2 linked regions of the Elephas maximus indicus genome follow. The protein of the gene in region 2 purifies or fractionates together with the protein of the main gene of each other region. This does not show direct contact. Links are inferred from orthologs where the notes say so. Each region holds a gene or a part of one and is shown on either strand. Other genes may lie near its edges.

Region 1 (7,237 bases), on a different chromosome or scaffold from region 2:
CAGACACTGCAGCTCCCGGAAGATGCAGATGGCGTCTCCTGTGGCTTGGATCACGTCTGCCTTGGATAGCACGTTCTGGGCAAAGGCCTGCAAAAGCATACTGGTTACTGGGTGGCAAGGCCCACTCAGCACCACCCGCCCCCAAGGAATCCAGGGGAGGGCTCACCTCAACGGGGTCCACACCATCCTCCTGGGTGGGAGGCACGTAGAAGCGCACCTCCATGAGAGAGACTTCTGCGTCATCGTTCTGGTGGAACTCCAGTGTCACCTCATTCTTGCCTGTGGTACACTGGGACACGTTGCTGAGGGGTATCTCAAACACTGGCTGGTCACCAATATCAAAGGAAAGCAGCTGTCCTGTGGGGGAGGACTTATCAAGTCACAAGCTCCTCCCTGGAGCCTGCATGAACAACGTCCCCACCAGACTGTAAGTAATGTGAGGTCAGAGCACTGGGGCTATTCTGTTCACGCTGTACCCCAATGCCTGATGTACTAGGAGGTGCTCAATAAATGCAAAAACAACACACAAACTGATAGGAAACCAGAGACAATGAGGAGGAAAGAGAGCCAAGCAAGTTAAAGGCTATACGCCTTCATCCTACCTTTTCCCCCAAACGTCATTCTACCCAGGACTCACCGCCAAATTTCACCGTCCCCCAGTTCCAGCCCTTTACACACAGGTCCTTCTCCATTAACTCAAGGCGATAGTGAGTTTTAAAGAAATCAGAGAGTTTCTCAAACTCCTGTGGGTGGAAGGGAGAGAGATTGAGCCCAGTAAACCCCAGTGTTCCTAAACAGACTTGAATGTCCCGGAATGATCTATCTCTGAGAAATTACCCTAATATACTCTTTATCAGAAACCTACGCTGATTCAGTCTCAGCAGTAAGAGTTTTAAAGAATGTTGAAAGAACCTACTTCTGGGGAACGGATCTCATGCTGGGGGAGGGGTAAAGCTAGGCACTGATACTCCTGGTTATGAGCCTGGCAGTGCTATCAGACTTTTTAAACTCAGTATGGATATCACCTTAGTAAAAGTAAAGATTAAAACGAGGAAAAGTCTTGGTTAGGAAGCAAATCAAAATGGAAAATCAAAACTAAAACTAAAGCATCAAGCTAAGATTCTAAACCTGAATAAGGGCAGTGAGTGAGAGCAGCCATCACCTAAATCAAAAGAGAACATCTTCTGGAATTGAGGCACAAAGACACAATACCCAAGGTTGAGTACTGACTGCTTGGTGTCCTTGACGGCCCCACCCTAAATGTCAAAACCAGACCCAATGCCTTCAATTCCAACTCAAGGAGACCCTATGTGTTACAGACTAAAACTGCTCCACAGGGTTTGTCAGGCTGTAATCTTTACAGAAGCAGATGGCCAGGTCTTTCTTCTGAAGCACAGCTGTATGGGTTCAAACTTCCAACCTTTGGGTTAGTAGTCAAGCACAGACAGTCTGCACCACTTAGGAACCTCTGGCCTCACTCTAAGGAGCCCAAAATAGCAATTACATGGTTATCAGACAAAGGATGCCCAATTCTCTCCAAAAGATTAAAAACAAACAAAACAGCACAGCAAAAACGGGATTTATCACAACAGGGCAGCTCACCGACTCTCGGAAGCCGTCATACTTGTAGACATGGCCATTCTTTGTGAGCAGTTTAAGTCCATGACCCAGAGCAACACGGCGCCAGATGCCTTCTGTCAACTCCCCGGCCTGGATGTTGTCCACTTTGCCCGTCTTGCTGTTCTTGAAGATGATACCTTGGCGGCTTAACCTCAGTCGACCATCATTCTGTCAGAAAAATAGGCCCAGAGGTACAGATGGTAATGTGCAGTCTCACCAATGCCCCATTCTGCGGCTGGTGGGCTGGCGGGGTATCAATGTAGGAGCAACAGCTGAAGGGGTGAGGGCCAGTAAGAAGCCTGGGTTCTAATCCTGACTCTGGCACCCAGAACCCTTGCAGGTACTTAGTTTCCTCATTTGTAACAAGGACTTGGGACTGAACAGCATCTAAGATGCCTTCTTAGGCTGCGATCCTTTTACTCTAGGAATTCTGCTCAGTACTGCCTTTTGTTGGGGAAACACCAGGTACATATAATATTCTGAGTCCTCCTTTGCCACACTAGTAACGTCATCAAAGCAAGCTCTTATTAATAGAAGAACGCTACTTCCCTCCCCTTCCCTCCCCCTGTATTAAAAGCCCAATCCTTCTCACCATGGAGCCTTTCACCTCCTGATAGACATCGTTGAACTCCAGTGTCTCTGCCATGCTGACCTGGCCCCTGTTGGCCTGGGCACAGGGCCCTAGGCTGCACAAGGGGGAACAGGAGAAAATGGGAGCTGGGCCCCAACTCCTTGGTGGTTGTATAGATGCTCAGCAGGTTAAGGATCTGAATTCAAGAGGGGGATAGATAAACATAGGAGACAACACCTCACTATGCTCTCCACTGGAACCAAGTGGCAAACCCTGGCTGCGCCTGTGATGTCTCAGGATCTGCTCCGCCTGGGAGCCCCCACGGGCAGACTGTGCACAGCTCCAGGGGCAAGGCCCAGACTCGGCTGGGGAACTGGGCCTAGAACAGTGCTTACACGCCAACCAAACATCCGCTTGGGCGCCCCACTGGGCACCATGGCAAGGAGCAGCAGAACCCCAAAGTCTGCTCGGAGCCTGCACCTCCCCCCATCACAGCTCAGGATGCAGGGTTTCCCTTCCAGCGCTCCCACCTTGCCGCCCCAGCCCCACGGCTCCCCCCGTTTCCTAAAATGGAATCGCCCGCTTCCCGCGGATTCGAACGCGGAACGAACCATCCGGAGAGTCCCGCGGGGGAGCGAGGCCCGCGACCTCCTGGGGCACGAGGTCGACGGCCACCTACCTCAAGCTCTAGCCTCGCTAGGGCCCCGGCACGGGCGGTGGGCGCGCTGGGGGACGCAAGAGGGGGGAAGGGGGTAGGGGAAACGCAGAGGATGCTTTTCCCGCGTGCGCGTCCCCGCGTCCCGCCACCGGAAGCCGCGCACAGAACATAGAGAGGAGGAGCCGGCTAGAGGGGCGCGATCCAGGCCCGCCTGTGAGGCGGTCACATAGAGCGTCCCCAGCTCGGGAGGACCTGTGGGAGGTGAGGGCGCAGTGCGTCGGCGCGCCCTACGCCGTGGAATTCAACTAGAAAAGGGAGGCACATGGGGTCTTTAGAAAGCTACAGACACCCTTTCCGTGGAGGACTAGGTTCTAAAGGGAAGTTGTGGAGCTTTACTTCATCAGACTCTCCACACACGTGTGTGTCTGTGTTGGAACGATGCATGCCCCTATCTCTCTCCTGCACAGTAGGGGTTTCTGTGGAGTACAAAAGAGTCTGTGAAAGAAGCAGAAAAATATTTAAAGCTCATGGAGAGAAATGACCCTTCCCACCAGATGCAAAGAGAATGCTGGTGTTGGTGTCCTTGTGACCGTACTGCTCTCTAGCTGTGTCCTGTCAAGTGGGATTGGTCCCTTTTTGAAGTGACTTCACTGCCTGCACCCGAAAACCTCACATCCATAACTGCAATTTATGTTCTCCTGGAAGAGGCTGGCAAACGGCCATATCAAGTTCAAGTGCTGGTGTCAGATTCACCTTGGAGCCGGAACTGATTTGAAACCCCATCAGTCCCGGATTGCGAAAGCTAGGCCCTTCTCATATAGTCCCAAGGTGCATGTTGCAAAATCAGAGACCAGACCGGGAGGAGATGTTTCAGTTCATCTAATCCAACCTCCTTTTGCAGTTAGAAAAACCGAGGCCCCAAAAGGAGTTCTTAAGGTCTCAGTGAGCTGGTGAGGAAGCTGGAGACTAAAACCCAGATCTCCTTACCCCAGTCCAGTCAGTCATAATGACAGTGATGCTGCATTCAGAATACTTGATAACGTGCCCTGCATGACATTAGGACCGAAAAAACCAAAGTTGTTGCAGTCGAGGACTTCAACTCATAACAACCCATTAGGACAGAATATTTAAATTCAAGGTTTCCCTAACAATCTGACTGAAAACAGCTAGCTTGCTCACTCTGTCCTGGGATTGAGATGACAGGAATGCACCAATGCCACCTGAACTCATACCTTTAACTTCTGTGTAGTGGCTGTTCCAGCACAATCTAGAAACATAAATTCAATTGAATCCAATATAAGGGCTTATTATTAACCCAACATGTTTCTAGGCTTCCAGCAAACTGGTGAGCAAGATGGAAGTAGCCCCAACCTTCCAGGAACACGTAATCTAATGAATGATTCACATACTAAAAAAAAAAAAAATGTGATAACTGCCATGCTACAGGTAAAGCTTCAGTTACTGCCAACTGGAGTTAGAAATGTGTGATTCTGTACTCACTCCCTTCCAAGAGACCGTGCAAGAGACCCTCCCCCCGCCCCCATCCCATGCTATTGGAGGCAACTGGGAAGGCAGGGGATGGCTGCAGAATTGGGTAGCTTTAGGCATACACTCAGGAATGAAGGGGCTACTCAGCTAAGGGAGGCTGTGAAGTGGCTGGGGGATGGGACATTGCAAGGGGCTTTAGAGAAAGCGGTGAGCTGCAGTGAAGGAGAATGGAACAGAAACTGTAGACAGAATGCAGATAAAACATGAGTCCCAGAGGACCCTACTAGCCAGCTGCATCCCAGGCAATCAGGAGCCCAGGACTGGAGACCCACCCCTGCCGTGACATCACGGGGGAGTGGGGTGGAGACAAACAAAAAGGGGGTCCTCCGCCCTGGCCCTAGACTCTTGGCAGCCCAGATTGTCAATAGCAGAGAGAGCCTGGGCACTGGGCTTAAAAGAACAGGCTCCCCGTCCCCAACCCTCTCTCAGCTGCCCCATCCAGGCCACCATCTCTGTCTCCCTGCCCTGAAGACCCCTCCCTCCTGAGGCTGCTGTTTGGCTCCTTCTGGGTGGCCCCTGTGCACACCCTCAGCATGAACTGCATATCAGACTTCTTCACCTATGAGACCACCAAGTCGGTGGTTGTGAAGAGCTGGACTATTGGGATCATCAACCGGGCTGTTCAGCTTCTGATCATCTCTTACTTTGTGGGGTGAGTGTGTGGCCCTTGAGGTCCTAGGAGGGGAGGACCAACTGAAAGTTTCCTGTCCAGCTTTCTGAGCGTCTCCCCTCTGGGGGGAAACAGTTTCTTCTGGGGAGCCATGCCCTAAAGGACTGGCCTCTGCCACCCCCACCCAGGATCTGGTCCCCAGGTGGGTTCTTTACCCCAGTAAATCCTCCAGGGTTGGAGAGCGGTTCCTAGACACACACTCTGAGGAGTGGGTTCCTCCACCAGGAGAGATCCCTGGTGATCCATCTGTCTTCCCCCATTCCCTTATCTGCCCCTTAGGTAACAGGCAGACCACCCCCCCCTTTACATCCTCTCATTCCCCTTGGTCAACTATTTGGGGTCTCAAAAGATAAGGGAGCCCAGGAAGGGGGAGGGGAAGACCCTTAAACAAGGGAGATAGTGACAAGTTGACCAGGTTGGTGGCAGGGTGGAACGGAGGGTCAGTTGGGAGGGAAGGGTCCATTTAGAAGAGAGAGATTGCCCTCCTAGCATGGGGGAGATGGTGAGAGAGCTTGGAAAGGGGAGAAGCCCCTACTCTTGGAGAGTAGGATAAAGCTGGGGTAACTGCCCCTTGGGGTATGGGGGAGAAACATGGGCACAAATAATACTCGAGAGAAGAGTGGAAGAGAAAAGTGACTTTCCTGAAAATAGTGTGGAGTCCCTCCCGAAAAATCTAGAAATGCTCCCCTTTGCCAGAAAGCATAAAGTCCCTGCTTATACCTGAGTTTGTGCTGTATAGCCCATCCTGGGAGTTGCTTAAGAGCCCCCTCTGGGCCCCCACCTCTTGGAGGCTCCCCCACACACAAAGGGCCATGGAGCAGACAATGGCTGGGGAAGAAACACAGCATCTGTCCTTCTCGTGATCGTTTCCACAAACTGGTGGGCACCAGGAAATCCCCTCAAGGGTTTTCTTTTCTGATATGCGTGTCTCTAGTCTCGTGCTGTTCCCTGAGACAATGGGTCTGTGTGGGAGAGGCAGCAAGCTGGTGCCTAACTGCCATGAGTTCATTCAAGAAAGTCAGATGGGACTCCTGTGTGCACGTGGGCTGGAATCTTCATGCGAGTGAGTCTGCTTGCCCAAAAGATTGGGATAATGTGTGAGGCTGTGTGTGGAAAGCCATGTAGATGTGTACGAAGTGATTTTTTTTGCTTCGCGTGCTTGTGAGAGCCAGCGAGCTTTGGTTATATGGATGTTGTAGACAAGGCTGTACATCTGGACATTAGAGAAGGGATTCAGGTGTAAGGAAGGATGAAATGTCCTTGAGGTTCCCTTGCAACTTTGAGGTGTTGTGAGATAATGATGTTTGCAAATGTTCCATGTCTACATCTCCAAAGCCCAACCCAACGTTGGTTCTTCAACGTTATGTGTTCGTGTGTATATGCAACTGTGCAATTGTGTATACCCAGGAGATGGTATTTTGGTCCAGGTGACTGCAAAAACTGCCTCAGCATATTCTGGGACTGGCCTACCTCCATTGGCCTCAGGCAGGAGATAGATGGAAGATAGAGACAGACGGCTCCTGGACCAGCCCTCTTGGCCCCCTGCCCTTGTCTCTCCTCATCACAATCTGATACTCCGGGCTGGAGCCCAGCCTGCAGGAGCGAGCAGGAGAGGCTCTTTGGCATCTTGATATCCAACCCCATCCATTTCGCAGCCTGACAGCTCCCGACGGAGCAGCTCCTTCCAGTTACATCAATGCGCTCTGCATCCCCACCCCCTGCCGGAACCCCATCCGCATGCACAGAAACCCGTGAACACCATGACTTCAGGAATCCATTGTCCTTAATTTAGCAAAAAAATGTCTGCAGTCTTTCTTAGGTATTGTGAACCGAGGATAGAATGGGAGGCAAAAATAGATAGGGTCCTTATCCTTGTGGAGTTTACAGTATAATGCAAGAGATGAACTCAAGAGATGTACGTCAATCAAATAATCTCCACAAACGTAAAATTTCAACCATGGTTCAGGGTTTGAAGAACAGGTGCCGAGTTCTAGGAGCACTGCTAACATGGAGGTACTTGACCTGATCAGGGGACTGAAGGAAGGTTTCCGGGGGAGGCGATGTCTAAGTCAAGATCTGAAGGATGAATAGGAAGAATCTAGGTGAAGAAAGGGAATGAAGGGAGTCTAAGGCAGAAAAAAAACATCTCTACAAAGGGAAAGAGCTTGGC
Region 2 (7,802 bases):
TCACCTCTCCCCCAACAAAAACCCCAAACTGGTTTGTATCCTAAAGAATTCCTGTAACAGAATTCTTCAGAACAGAGAAAAATAATAACTCTCACTACGAAATTTAGAGAAAAATAAATAACATTAAGATAAACTGTTAGTGCTAATTGTGACTGAATTAGTCTCAATGTTAAGGGTTTATTTCTTATTACAAAAATAATTTTTTATAATAAAAAAGCCATTTCATACACTCAGAACTCCTACATATTCCAAGTAACAGAAGGGTTTTTATGTATTAGCCAGGTGAGTGAGACGTACATGTCCAAGTACACAGTGCAGGGAGAATGCAATAGTGCACCTGAAGAGAAGTTTTGAACATCAGAGCACATCCTTCCTTTTGGGCCTTGCATTTACTCCAAGACTAAACTGCTCAATCAGGACTCATCGAATTAAAGCAAAGTTTACCCCTACACTATCCCAAAGTCACTTAGCCAACTCCAATGTAAAATCCATGACCACATCACACAAAAATGGAAAATGACTAAAGAGATAACGCAAAAATCTACATGTGAAAATATGTCTAAAGGTGGTCTAAAAAATCCTTCTAAATGACACTTTAGTAAGCTGCAACGAGAAACTCTGTATGTGTGTATGTATAAAAATTCGGGGCAGGGGGAGGGAGGCTTAAAAAAAAAAAAAATCCCTGAAGACTACAGAAACTTCAGGGCATAAGAACAGAACAAAGTTCATGCAGCGCCAATGTTACAAGCCTTAGGTGAAGGAACTCTGCATGATTCCTACTTAAAAAACAAAACAAAACTGCAGGTTATCCTAAACTTGTCATATAGCATCTTTCTCCGAAGAGCAAAGAAACTCAAAGCATTTGCCATTTCCTCACATTTTCACTCCTGGAAATGCAGCCTCGTAAGAAACATGCTCTGGAAGTTCTCTACAAACTCAAAGGGTACATTTAACTCCATTATGCATTCTCACTGGCAGATGGAGGGATGACGTTGAGCCTGTTCTGGGGAGTTTTTAAAGAGATGCTCCGTAGTAAGGGGAACATCTTGTGGACTGTCAGATGGCCAGCCATTCTCCCTCTTCATTATCCTGGCATCTCAAACAACTACGGCAGTGAACGGGAAGGCCGGTGACCATCAGGACAGCACCACGAAACTAGCTGTGAGAAGGGAGAGAAAGGGGCGATGGGCAGACAAGTATTCCTGAATCCTCACGACAAAAGACTAGTCCACAACTGAGTAAAGAATTTGCAGGGCTTTCAAACTAAAATCTCAATCTCTGAATATGCTTAAAAGGTTGAAAAAAAAAAAGAGAGAATACGAACAACCCCCCCGCCCCCAGGCCCAAACCTCATTTTTCACTTTTGTACAATCGGTTCATGTTTGTTGCAGATTGGGACTCTTTCAACTTCTATCCTTGATTTCCAGGTACATAACTCCACAAAATCCTTTATTTTTTTTCTTTCCCCCCAAAAGAGAAAGTGAATACAAACTGCAAAAATATCTCTGTTCCTCCCAAGTGAGGAAACCCAGAGTTTCAGACATTTTGGCCTCGCAACAAAAAAATGGGAGATGTAAAATGAACTGCGCTCCATATTGACTCTCAGAGCAAAAAGAAAAAACAAAACAAAAAAACCCTAAGAATAGTAGGTCAGACCAATTTTTGTTAAACCTCTCGTTAAACCTGAAATCCAAAATCGTACACACAAAAATTAAAAATTAAAAGAAACCACGATTTTTCACGCCCTAATCCTCCGCAGAAAATCTTTGTGCAAAGGAGAGGAAATCTTGAAGAGTGGAAAGTAGAGGAAACAGAATGAGTGCAACCAAGGAGAAAGGATTCGCGATTTCTCGTTTAACACCATCAAAAAAAAAAAATTAAAACTAAAATCCGGGGAAAAAAAAAAAAAAAAGCCCTTGCACACAAACGCGCTGGCATTTCCCCAAACTAAAACTGCATGGGCGCTACAATAAAGGCCATTTCTCTACAGCACCCACTTCCGAGCTCTAATTCCAGAACACACATCGATAGCACAGAGTGTTGCAACGAATGGATTAGGAGGCAAAGAAAATGGTAGGGCTCCCGGCCGCCTCCGACCAGCTCATTCAGATAGATACCTCTGCGACGGACTCGGGCCAAGAGGCAGGCTACCAGGGCGAGAGAGAAAGGAAGCAAAGATGGAAGAAGAAAGGTGCGAGGGGCCGGGGAAGGCCGGGCCCGAGACTAACCTGTGCTGTCGCTGGCCGACGCCGACAGGGCCGGGGACGAGAGTTTAGGCCGCTTGGCTGAAGGCGGCCCCGGTTCCACCACATTCTCGGCCATTTTTAATTCTTTCGGAGATACAAGCGAGGAAAAGGCGAATCCTCGGGAAATCTCTTCTTCGGCCCGGGGCCCCCGCCCCGCTCCCTGGGGTGGGACTGGGGGGCTCGGCCGGCACCCGAAGGGGTGGGGGAAGTTCCTTTTTCTCTCCGCCGGCTCGCGGCGGCCGAAGAGGGATGTGGACTCGACAGAAAAGGTAGGGGCAAGTGCGAGGGGCCGGGCCTGGGCCCAGCCCGCAGGAGGCGCAGAGCACGAAGCCGCCGAGCGCGTCCGCCGCGGCCGACTCCCGAGAACGCGCGGCTCTACAGGCGCAGTCCCCGGCCCGCCACGGCCGGCCCCTGCCCCGCCGAGGTCTCTCGGAGCGCCGCCGCCATCAGCCTCTTCCTCCTCGGCGCTGTCCTCCTCCTTCTCATCGCCACAAGGAGGCGGGGGCGAAAGGGGGGGAGAGGAGGAGGCGACGCGAGACACTCACCTCCTCCCGGTGCCCCCTCCCGGGCCTGCGCCCCCACCCTCCGAGCCCTCCTCCCGCCGCCGCGCTCCGCGTCGCCGCCGCCGCCGCCGCACCGGCCCCTAATGGCCGCACAGAGCCCGCCCGAGCCGAGAGCCAGGCTGGCGCCACCGCCTCACATCGCGCGGCGGGCGCTGGCGGCCGGGCGGCGGAGGCGCAGCTAGGACGCCGGCGCTGAGCCGCCGGCGCAGAGAGCCGAGGGGGCCGGGCCGAGCAGCGGCGCTCGCCCGCCCCGACGCGGAACCCACCGAGGAGGCCCGCTCCGGAGGGCGGCGCAGGCGGCCTCTCCTCGCGCCGCGCTCGCCTCCTTTGCCCTCCCTTCCCGCGGAAAATAAATAAATACGGCCGGGGCCGGGAGCGCCCGCCCCCCGAGGCTCCACTCGGGCCGCCCTAGGCGGCGGGCGAAGGCGCCGCGGGGCGCGGGGTTATGTAATGGTCCCCCCTAGGCGTCGACGCCGGCCCGGCTCCCGGCCGCGGTGGGGGTGTGTGCGGGCAGGAGGGGGCGAGGGGTCGCCCAGGCCGTGCGCCCCGGGCCCCCTGCCACTGTCTCGACCCTGTCGCCTCTCTCCGGCCCGGCTCCCTTCCGCACTCTCTGGCTCCCGCAGCTCGCACTCAGCCCGGCGTCCTCCTTGCCCACTCTCGCCCGCTCCCTCTCGCCCTCTCTCCCCCCTAGCCTAGCACACAAACAAGATGGCGGCTGTTGTTTCTTCCCTCTGCCGAATCCTCCTTACGGGCTAGCGGTAGCAGCGGCGCCGGAAATGAGCCAAGGGAGGGGGTGAAAAAAGGGGCGGGGCGGGGCCCGGGAGGGAGGGGGCGAGGGGCGGGGCCTAGGCCCTAGAGGCTCACACAATGGGGGAAGAGGAGCCGGGGGCGGGGTCAGTTCCAATCACGGGACCCGCCCAGGGCCTCAACGCGCTTGGCGCTTCCGCAAACTCCCCCGGCGTCACCCGGTGGCTCCCTTTAAAGGGGAGGATTTTAAGGGGGGGGGTGGGGGAAAGAGGGCGAACTCGGAATCTATTTTCGGTCGGTGGACAGTTACGGGGGAAGGTTCCTGGGTTGGGTCTGTGCGTAGGAACCGGTGGGAACCAGGAGTGACGGAGCCCAGGAGTTACGCCAGGGAAGGCGCCAAGTCATTGCACAGGTGGCTTAATAGGAGCGCCCATGGGGATGGCCCTGCTCCCTGGGCCCGTGAGCGGCCAGTCGGCCTTACCTCCCTTGAATCCACCAAGCAAGAGCGTACCCTGCTACCCGGTATTCCGGGCCATACACCCAGTGCGTCCGCACTCTCCTCCATCACCTGTCCGGAGGGGAGCAGTTCACATCCCAAAATCACACTGATGCGGGGTGCTTTCCATTTTCTCTCTGTATCCGCCCCCCTTCTTTTTTGCAACGAGGATATATTGATAATCAGCAGAAATCACAGCAGTAAAAGGATGTTTTAGGACCAGACGCAAATTCATTTCTTCTCCAGCACGTGTCCACTCGCCCCTACTAGGCAACAGTCTTCCTCGGAATCTTAAGTTATTTTTCTGAATACGCCTGGTACCTGAGGAAGTTTCGGGGTACTTCTTTCCACCCACTCCCAATTAAAAAAAAAAAAAAGACTAGCTTAATAAAAGAACACATTTGATTTAGGCAGTGTCTTAAAGATAATGCAATTCTATAAAAAAGCAAAAATGTAGTAATGGAACGATGGGGGAAATGGGTGAATATGAGTAAAGAAAATGTGTGTGTGACCGAACAATTTTGCAGCCGAGGGATGCACGCACAGTTTCACATTCCTACACAATACAGGGTCCCCGTGTTTCACCTTGGGGAAATTGGTCCTTGAGGAAGCGGCAAGATTTGTAAGTGGCCTCAAGGGAACCCCTAAACCATTATCTACCAAGATGATGCTTAAAAGCTTTTTCTAATCTTTCAAATTTCATGCTCTTTAGTCGGCATTTTCATACTATTCGGTTTACTTTTGGTGTGTGTGTGGTTTTTGTTTGTTTGATTTTTAAATGAATGAGGGTGAAAATGAATAAGAACCTAGGAAGGAAAATTCTAAGGGAGCAACTCACATTACCTCACAAGAATGAATTCTATGATGTGACATCCAGGCCTCAATCGCCCAAGTTGTAGTGAAAAGCAGACAAATGAAGAAGGATAGCATCCTCTTTACCTTAAAGTTGTTTCCAGATGGATCCGACATATAGGGGTAAGGTCAAAACTGGCTTTCTGGAATGATTCGGTTATTTTCAACAGTTTAAACCCACATTCATGGTGAAGAGCACAGAGGAAAAATGTGGATGCCTGGAAACTTGGCTCACCTGGTTTTGTTTTGTTTTTAATTTTTTTTTGTGCTTTAAGTGAAAGTTTACAAATCAAGTCAGTCTCTCATACAAAATTTTACATACACCTTGCTATATACTCCTGGAAAACCCTGGTGGCGTAGCGGTTAAGTGCTATGGCTGCTAACCAAAGGGTTGGCAGGTCAGATCCGCCAGGCACTCCTTAGAAACTCTATGGGGCAGTTCTACTCTGTCCTATGGGGTTGCTGTGAGTCGGAATCTACTGGAGGGCACTGGGTTTGTTTTTTTTTTTTAATATACTCCTAGCTGCTCTCCCCCTAACGAGACAGCACACTCCTCCTCCCTACCCTGTATTCCCTGTGTCCATTCAGCCAGTTCCTGTCACCCTCTGCCTTCTCATCTCCTCCCTAGAGAGGAGCTGCCCACATAGTCTCATGTGTCTACTTGAGCCAAGAAGCTCACTCCCCACCAGTATCATTTTCTGTCTTATAGTCCAGTCCAATCCCTGTCTGAAGAGTTGGCTTTGGGAATTCACCTGGTTTTTTGAAGAGTTTCTGACCTTAGGAAAAAGATTTGCCTAGTTTTGCAGAGGATCCAACTTGAGTCTAAATAGCATTCAAACGTTTGGTCGCCCTGGCCAAACTGTGAGTGGGTACAAGAACGTGCTTAAGGAGACCTGAGTAATATCACAGGAGAAAATTCTGCTAAAAGAAGGAGTCAAGGGCCACGGACCTGGCCAGGAGGGAAGGCTCCTCTCTACATGGGAACTAGGATGAATGCTGCCTCTCTCCCTGGGATTTGTTCCTCTGGCCCTTTACCCTGAAGTCAGCCATGTTGGAAGTGGCTGGGGAAATAAGGATCACATGAATGCAATCAGTATGAGACTTTAGATGTCTTTTAAAAAGTAGAGTTGAATCATCACCCTGGATTATATATTTGATGTTGTCGTTGTTAGGTGCCATCAAGTTGGTTCTGACTTACAGCAACCATATGTACAATAAAATGAAACAGCACCGGGTCCTTCGCCACCCTCTCAATCCTTGCTATGCGTGGGCCCATTGTTGCGGCCACTGTGTCAATCCGTCTCATTGAGGGGCTTCCTCTTTTTCACTACCCTCTACTTTACCAAACATGATGTCCTTTTCCAGGGACTGGTCACTCCTGACCGCATGTCGAAATTAAGTGAGACAAAGTCTCAGTATCCTTGCTTCTAAGGAGCATTCTGGCTTTACTTCTTCCGAGACAGACTTGTCTGTTCTTGCAGTCCATGCTATATTCAATATCCTTTGCCAACACCATAATTCAAAGGCATCGTTTCTTCTTTGATATTCCTTATTCACTGTCCAGCTTTCTCATGCGTATAAGGCAACTGAAAATATCATGGCTTGTGTCAAGTGCACCTTAGTCTTCAAAGTGACAACTTGGTTTTTAACACTTTAAAGAGGTCTTTTGCATCAGATTTGCCCAATGCAATATGTCGTTTGATTTCTCAACTGTTGTTTCCATGGGCATTGATTATGGATCCAAGTAAAATGAAATCCTTGACAACTTCAATCTTTTCTCTGTTTATCATGATGCCTATTGGTCCAGTTGTGTGAATTTTTGTTTTCTTTTTTTTTTATGTTGAGATGTAATCCATAATGAAGGCTGTAGTCTTTGATCTTCATCAGTAGGTACTTCAAGTCCTCTTCACTTTCAGCAAGCAAGGTTGTGTCATCTGCATACACGGGTCTTTAATGAGTCTTCCTCCAATCCTGATGCCTTGTTTTTCTTCGTATAGTCCAGCTTCTCGGATCATATATTTGCTCAGCATAACAGATTGAATAAGTATGGTGAAATGATACAACCCTAACCACAGCTTTCCTGATCCCAAACCACACAGTATCCTCTTGTTCTGTTCAAATAACTGCCTTTTGGTCTATATACAGATTCCACATGAGCACAATTAAGTGTTCTGAAATTCCCATTCTTCCCAATATTATCCAAAATTTGTTATGATCCACACAGTCGAATGCCTTTGCATAATCAATAAAACACAGGTAAGCATCCTTCTGGTATTCTCTGCTTTCAGTCAGGATCCATCTGACATCAGCAGTGATATCCCTGGTTCTACATCCTCTTCTGAATCCAGTTTGAAGTTCTGGCAGCTCCCTGTCCACGTACTGTTGCAACTGCTTTTGAATGATCTTCAGCAAAATTTTACTTATGTGTGATATTAACGATAAAAAAAAAAAAACACTGTTCAATAATTTCTGCATTCTGTTGGATCACCTTTCTTTGGAATGGGGCACAAATATGGATCTCTTCCAGTCAGTTGGCCAAGTAGCTGTCTTCCAAATTTCTTGACAGAAGCTAGTGAGTGCTTCTAGTGCTACGTTGGTTTGTTGAAACATCTCAAGTGGTATTTCCCATTGTTTTTCCCAATGCCTTCAGTTCAGCTTGGACTTCTTCCTTCAATACCAGTGGTCCTTGATCATACGCTAGCTCCTGAAATGGTTGAATGTTGACTGATTCTTTTTGGCATAGTGACTCTGTGTATTCCTTCCATCTTTTTTTTTTTTTTTTGCCAAGACCTTTATTTCATTTTTTAAAAATAAAATTATAGGGTTGAAAGAAGTCTTTGGAGAGTTGCTTCTCACTCTTTTAAACTTGGAAGAATCCTTCTCTGAATTGCAGTCAAA

Evidence for each region. Proteins that work in one complex are often made in the same cells at the same time.
Region 1: the proteins of EP300 (region 2) and SSRP1 purify together in Homo sapiens (affinity purification with mass spectrometry, with the first as the bait; 3 studies listed by BioGRID). This does not show direct contact. The link is inferred for Elephas maximus indicus from reciprocal best matches to the Homo sapiens genes EP300 and SSRP1.

What each region holds. Positions count from the first base shown.
Region 1 is NC_064825.1:118,746,780-118,754,016, forward strand, and holds the start of SSRP1 (FACT complex subunit SSRP1), read right to left. Parts: upstream 3,006-7,237; 5' UTR 2,871-3,005; intron 2,388-2,870; 5' UTR 2,267-2,387; coding exon 2,213-2,266; intron 1,789-2,212; coding exon 1,603-1,788; intron 744-1,602; coding exon 638-743; intron 358-637; coding exon 167-357; intron 88-166; coding exon 1-87. Other genes in the region: P2RX3 (P2X purinoceptor 3), read left to right, coding at 4,931-5,049. UniProt on the Homo sapiens protein: Component of the FACT complex, a general chromatin factor that acts to reorganize nucleosomes. The FACT complex is involved in multiple processes that require DNA as a template such as mRNA elongation, DNA replication and DNA repair.
Region 2 is NC_064822.1:185,258,595-185,266,396, reverse strand, and holds the start of EP300 (histone acetyltransferase p300), read right to left. Parts: upstream 3,013-7,802; 5' UTR 2,323-3,012; coding exon 2,229-2,322; intron 1-2,228. UniProt on the Homo sapiens protein: Functions as a histone acetyltransferase and regulates transcription via chromatin remodeling. Acetylates all four core histones in nucleosomes. Histone acetylation gives an epigenetic tag for transcriptional activation.